Linked DNA regions of Drosophila melanogaster. The protein of the gene in region 1 interacts with the protein of each later gene in a pairwise test. Each region holds a gene or a part of one and is shown on either strand. Other genes may lie near its edges. The genes, in order: LysX and CG9014.

Region 1 (3,207 bases):
TTGCGACGACGTCGCGTGGCAGCTGTATTGGGTGCCAGCAGATCTGTGCTGGCTCCAATGGTCACAGGTGCACTATTGCCACCCAATCCACTGGTGTCCATGCCCAGGAAGCCACCAATCGCATCCTGGTGGTTCAACGGATGATGTCGGTGCGAATTAAACGAGTCGTTGGTGTCCAGCGAGCCGTCCGAGGACAGAGTGACTTTCAGCCCGTCGCCCAGCTCATCGTCCTCCACTTGACGCATCTTGGGCTCGTGATCCACAAGACCAATGCCATCCTCCTGATCCGAACCGTCGCCATCGCTCTTCGAGGAGTGCGAGTCCTCCAGGTCATCGTTGGGAATTAAGCTGTGAAAAGGGCTTTACTGATGAAACTGAACTCATGCCATCGCACAGAAATCACAGCGAGTTTGGAATAATTCATAAGAATGTCCAAAGGCATGCACACAATTCGTTGCATACTTTTAAACAGTTCCATCAGTGACTTTTGTGATTTCTGTTGCGAACAGTTCCCTTCAAGGATACCCAACCAGTTTCAAGGGGTGCTCTTCAGGACACGTGCACACGTCTTGGCTACAGCAAGCTTCGCCAGATTGCTTCTTACCACAGCCTTTCACCTTTCAACTTACGAGTAAAATGCATGTGGATTATTCTTCTTGCTGCCTGCTCCTGATCCGAATCCAGCAATCGTATGTGGCTCAAATATGGGCCTGTGGAACTCCTCGAATTCGCTGTCGGCCATGTCGTTTGGGGACCAGGGTCCGACCAGCTGCCACGCCCTCCACTACAGGCTAGCTGGGGCTTTTAGTTAGTCCGTGTGAACTGCTTTTGGTTAGATTTTCACTGGAGTCCTGCTCGCGCTACAGTTTTTTGCCAACGGAGTCACTTTTTTCACTTCACATGCGAAAATCGATAATTTCCTTGACGTTGCTGGCGTGCCCCCGTCTGAATTCCAGATGTGAGTGGTGCCAAATCAGAAATAGTGGAGGCCCAAGCCAGGGAAATTCGGGACTTTCAGCTGTCATCCGCAAGCTCTCTCTTTATTTCTCTCTCTCTCTCTCGCTGGTAAGCCAAACTTGTTTTTGTTTACCGCTGGCAGGGCAAAGGTTGGGGGGTCAGCGGCATTCACTCTGTCCTGGGGGTTGACAGGAAGCGCGCCTGCGCAGTGAGTCACTTCCGCTCCCCGTTTCCAATGGTGGTGACTTGCGAATTGCAATGCTGTTGCGCTTTGGCACGAACAGCCAGGGGCGGATCTAGAAAATGGGGATTTCCCCCGGCTGGGGATTTCTTATCGGGCATATATTTTTATAGTAAATGTGTACGAACGAATCAGTCTTCATTTCACAAAATGCAATTTCGAAAATTATTTAATTAATTTTAAAAGTACAAAAACTATCTATCAATTAATTTAGAAAATTATAAAATTATGAATAAGGTTGGTCATTATCTATCTAAAACAGCAATTATATTATATTATATTATAATATATTATATTATAATATATTATATTATAATATATTATATTATATTATATTATTTTATATTATAAGATACGATAGGAGATGTAATCGCCACCCCAACTGATAAATGTAAATGGGGAAATGGAAATCGTCAGTCTGCCATAACTTACCTACAAGATATGCATTTTTCTGTTGCCTAGTCAAATCAGACAATCTAAAGGTACCTATAATTTTCCTAAGAAATTTTCTTACCACTAACTCAGGTGATCCGGTCCAATGTTCAAAGTTCTCACACAACGGTTGCCACACGAGCTGCAACGACATGCTCAAAGACGACATCATCCAGTCTGTGAGGTGTGCCCAGAAAGCCCAGATTTAGTTGAATACCCTCAATAATAAGAACCGCTGGTTTCTTCTTTGTATAGAATATAGTTCTTATCTTTAATCAGATTTTTTTTATTTCCCCGGGTATAAAAGAATGAACAGTCTTTAGCCACGCAGTACTTCATCGACATCCAACCAATTCGCCATGAGAGCCCTCCTAGGAATCTGTGTCCTGGCACTAGTCACTCCAGCTGTCCTGGGTCGCACCATGGATCGCTGCTCACTGGCGCGCGAGATGGCCAATATGGGTGTTTCTCGTGACCAGTTGTCCAAGTGGGCGTGCATTGCAGAGCACGAGAGCTCCTACCGCACCGGAGTGGTGGGGCCTCCCAACACCGATGGATCCAACGACTATGGCATTTTCCAGATCAACGACATGTACTGGTGCCAGCCGTCCAGTGGAAAGTTCTCCCACAATGGCTGCGATGTGAGTTGCAACGCTCTCTTGACCGATGACATCAAAAGTTCCGTAAGATGTGCCCTAAAGGTCCTGGGTCAACAGGGCTGGTCAGCCTGGTCCACCTGGCACTACTGCAGTGGATACCTGCCCCCGATCGATGATTGCTTTGTTTAATTCAAGTCTCTTAACCATGGACATTTCAAAATGTAATTGTTTTGCAATCTAATAAACACTTTTTATACGTTTATACTTTTTGATACGTTGATTCACGATATATACATAAATAAAAGTAAATATCTGGTACGACATTTGTAATTAAACAAAGAAATGTGCGGACAAATAAATCAAAGATAAGCGACAGCGAACAAAATTAGTCATTGCAATTTTTCAACGAATTCATAATATATAGAAAGGTAATTACTATGTACTGTATACTATATATACTATACTATATACTATAAATATATAAAAAAAAACAAATAGTTCAGAAACACTCTAAAATCTTAAAAAGTACGTTCTTAAAGCAGACACATGTAAATGTTGTTTCTTAAGTGTTGATCAAATTACCCTTTCCAATTCCCGAATTAAAACCGAGTCACAGTTTAGACCCCCATTCAAATTAGATGTCTAAGTTAATTATTCCGAAATCAAGAGCTGCCATTCATCGTGACCTCGACTCCGTTCCGGGCTTCATCTCCGTCTGGCTGCCTTCACATCGGCGGAGTGGGGGACATCCTGCATCCCTTGGGGCAACCATAAATCCTTTAGCTCGTGGGCAAATAGAAAGTGGATGGCTCCTGGGAGCCAGTCGTTTGTCGGTCAATCAGTTAGCCAGCACCATTAAGTTAATCGCCTCAGCTGATGAGTTGGGGTGAAGCGCTGCCCACGCATGTGTTTAGTGGGCCTTTCGCATATTTTAATAGTCAAGTGGCAGTGACTCTGGCTCCCAGCCTGACCACCCGG
Region 2 (3,939 bases), on another chromosome or scaffold:
AGCTCATCGCATCGAAGTAAGCTGCTTGCAGTCCATTAATTTTCATTTGATCAGAGATCTCGTTTTCAATTGCAGGCTAAAATCGTAATGGTCCCGAAAATTTATCTCAGCTGGGAAATTAAATTTTGTACAATTTGTAAAACTTTTCCAAATGGTGTCGCCAACTGCCGCGAACCGAGCACAGCCAAACTTTTACCATTTCCATTATAAGTTTTACTTGATGCACCCACCGCAAGCCCAACCAACCGCCCACCCACAGAAGGAGCAACCTCAATCCCAGCTTATGCGTTTATTTAATTTCGCTCCAACATTACGCATACGCCCGAGTGTTCACTGAGCTTCTATAATTGCCGCGTAATTGCCGAGAAGAATATCTGTCAGCTACAACGACAACTTTAAACTGTGAGTGTTGCTGCACTGAACCAATCGATGAGGGAAGTTTAACAAAACCTTAAAAATTTCAAAATTACATACGTTTCATAAAAACTCTTCGATAGTATTGGGAGCCCTCAGATTATTCATAAGGTCCGACATTAAAAAATAACACGACCATTTGTTTGTTTTCTATTTACGTAACTCGAATTGATAAAACATATTTATATTTTTCATTTTGACGACTTTTGAAGTACGATCGTGTAATTTAAGACAGTGAAGCAACATGACCATCATTCCAAAACAAAGGACGTGGAAAACGGGCAGCCAGTTGCGCTTTTGTGTTGTGTTACCAAAATGAATTTAGATGTGGAGGATACAAGCAGGATGTGGTGACCCATCATTGGCTTAAATAATCTCTTCGCCAAATATTACCTCATTCACACCGTCGACGAAGATCATGACCAGTCCGAGGATGGGGCGCAGATTCTCCGGCATGTGGGTGTTTTCGCCGCCCAGAACAACCACGCACGGTTTGCCAATGACCAGACCGGGCACCAATCGGGTGACATACCGACTCATGAGATGTTGGTTCTCGCGGCGATCGTCCAACGTCATCAGACCTTCGGGCCAGCGATCCTCGTGGCAACGTTCAACCAGCATATTGAGCATATGCATCGGACAGCCGCTTTCACGCAAAACGTCGCGCACCATCAGGTGCATGGGATTGTCCGGCGTGGAGATCAGACTGCCCCACGTATGGATGTTGGCCAGAGGGAGTCCATGGCCCCACTGCATCAGTGAGAAGCGGTCCAGTTGTTCGCCAATGTTGCGCAGCATGGGATTGGTCGATCGCAGTGCTGCGATATAGTACTGGAACAGCTCCATCTCTCGGCGCTGGCTGGAGCTCTGCTCCTCCATATCGGATTGCTTCTGCTTCAGATCGGAAACCTCCTTCGCCAGTTTCTCCACCAGCTCGCGCAGTTCGAACACACAGTTGTGGCGCGACATCTCGTCCTTGGGTACCTTTAGCGGGAATATTATAGCTATCTTAAGCAGTTCAAGTTATTCCCAGAATGTTCACCTTCATTCCGCACCCCTTGCTGCACTCGACAACCACCTTGGGATTATGCTCGCAGGCGGCGACATGGGTCCGGAACTCCTCGAGGGCCAGCATTTGGGCACAACCGCTTTGCGAGAAGGTGCACTTGATCTTTAGGCGGGATAGCATGTTGCGCATTAGGCGCGAAACGGGCACCAGATGTGAGGTCAGTAGCCCGGAGCGGTCCACCGGGCAAATCTGTTTCTGGATCATCCACTTGTCGATGCAGGCGCGACAGAAGGCGTGCTCGCATTCCGATGACTGGACCGGCTCCTCCAGGACATCTGTGCAAATTGGACAGATGAGCTCCTCGTCAACGTGGCCCACAATGCAGTTTAGATCAAAGCCCATGACGAAATGGTTTGATTTCTATACCGAAGTTTATGTCGCTGGAGAATCTGAGATGTTATTTTTTTTTGGCATGGAGCCACTCTCATCCACTTACCACTGAGTTCGATATGTACTTATACCTATATCCGAAACTCGATTTTTACAATATTTCGATCAAAAAGTTAGTTTTTACGTCGGCGCTGAGTTGTGTCCGAGCTGGCATCTGATTAAAAGCCAACTATGTGTATAGTTATGCATAGTTATATAAATAGTATATATAGTTTATTTTTGTAAATAAAAATCCTTTTCTTAAGCTAAGAAATACTAGGCCTTTCGATCATCTGTTATGCAAACAGCTCTCATTGAGCCTTCTACCATTTAGGACACTTCAATTTCAATTCAAGCGCAACTGAAACCAGCCAAACAACCAACAGAACACTGGGAGTCATCCATCCAAGTGGGCCAAGAGCAAGTGGGGTGGGGGCGAATGGGTCTGAGAAAACGTTTTCTTGAGGCACTTGCATATAGTGCGGTCGTAAAACCCTTTGCATATTTATAGTCCCAACTGCTGCGGAAGTTATGCAAATTGGAAAACTTATGGTACGACAACCCGGAATAATGCCAAACGTCCAGCCAACCTTCGGCGACCACGTTTTAACTTAGCCTGCACAGAGAAGCGATGCGAAGCGAAGCGAGGAGTTGAATTTTATTTATAAAGTGAAATTTTAACAAATTAACAGCAAATGCTGGGACATGGGCAAACAAATAAACTTTCCATCTTCAGCTCCACAATGGCCGAATTTCGAACAAACACTCATCAGACGACACACAGGCATGATTGTGACAACATATTGCCATGTCAAAATATTTACACTATATCAACTGCTCTATGCAAACTCGAATGTATATACATACGTGTGTATAATAGAATGGGCATTGTGTGACTGGAAATTCGGTTTTTAATTTCACTTGGAAGCGTCATTCGCTTGGATATTAAATTTCATGTTTTGCCTAAGAATGACATTTGCTTTTGTGTGCCTTTTTGTGCATTTTGTTTGTGACAACTTTACTGCATCGAATCCTTTTCGTTGGATTGCAATTTCAGTCTAGTGCTACCAAATGCTTATCTCCGAATGCAACTGTCAGTCTGACATTTTAGTTTACTTTAAATTCCTGCTCAAGCCTTTTCAGTTTGCCATAATATTCAAGACTCATTCTTTCATTTCGTTTTTATCTTGAAAAACAGTAATCGAAATGCTTGAATTGATGAGTTGAATAAATCACAATTGATATGCGATTCCCCACTCCGGCTGGTGTGAAATATTCTTTAATAAATCGCATTTTGTGCAAAATAATTAAGTCCGTGTGGGGTGTGGTGTTCGTTTTATCAATCCATTGGCTTTGCGACGTTCAATAGCAATATTTCACATTTCTGAGCTGATGGAGCGCATTAGAAAATAATCAACAATTTTCATTTGACTTGGCTCCGATAAAACCCATCATCCAGCAAACACAAAACGAACCACTCAAGCAGGAAAATTTAATAAGTTTGTACGTAAGCATATACACAGCTCGCCACAAAAATGTTTTTCCAACTGATCTGACCGCATTTGTGAAAATCAGCATTGATGATTCGAAGGCTCCTAGAGGATGCACACACTCTGATGAAAGATTTGGATAATAGCTTATGATGTTTTATATATTATAGAAGTGCCTTTTTTTTTGTTAATAAAATATATATGTACATTTGAGTGCTGTTTTTTTTAAGTGCAAGAAGATCATGTTTGGTTTTTCCGAGTGTATTTATGTACGAAACCCAACTAATAAGGTTAGCAACGTGTAAACAGTCATTACGTGAGTGGCTCTGTGTTAGCATGTAACGAGCCACAAATGCTTGCCACACAATGTTTATTTGCATTTATATTTGCTGTTCTTGCGCCGTTGTCATTTCATTGCAACATCAGTACGTGCCTCATTGTCCCCAAGTCCTTAGCATCCTGATGCCACATTCCCTCTACTCTGCAGATAGATAATCATTAATGACGGACTCGAAGTAGCATTCTGCTCACATGTTTCCCGCTTCGCCTTAAGTTCCAAAATTGTTGATTGGCAGTGTAATTATGTTCTAAACATAT

The links.
Region 2: the proteins of LysX (region 1) and CG9014 interact in a two-hybrid assay, tested with the Drosophila melanogaster proteins (one large-scale study listed by BioGRID).

Annotation. Positions count from the first base shown.
Region 1 is NT_037436.4:1,194,078-1,197,284, reverse strand, and holds LysX (lysozyme X), read left to right. Parts: upstream 1-1,982; 5' UTR 1,983-1,989; coding exon 1,990-2,418; 3' UTR 2,419-2,546; downstream 2,547-3,207. Other genes in the region: Aplip1 (APPL-interacting protein 1), read right to left, coding at 1-348, 630-742. UniProt on the Drosophila melanogaster protein: Unlikely to play an active role in the humoral immune defense. May have a function in the digestion of bacteria in the food. May be involved in the clearance of bacteria from the larval gut before metamorphosis.
Region 2 is NT_033779.5:13,721,613-13,725,551, forward strand, and holds CG9014 (uncharacterized protein), read right to left. Parts: upstream 2,031-3,939; 5' UTR 1,920-2,030; intron 1,873-1,919; exon of another isoform or gene 1,864-1,872; 5' UTR 1,826-1,863; coding exon 1,457-1,825; intron 1,399-1,456; coding exon 781-1,398; 3' UTR 549-780; downstream 1-548.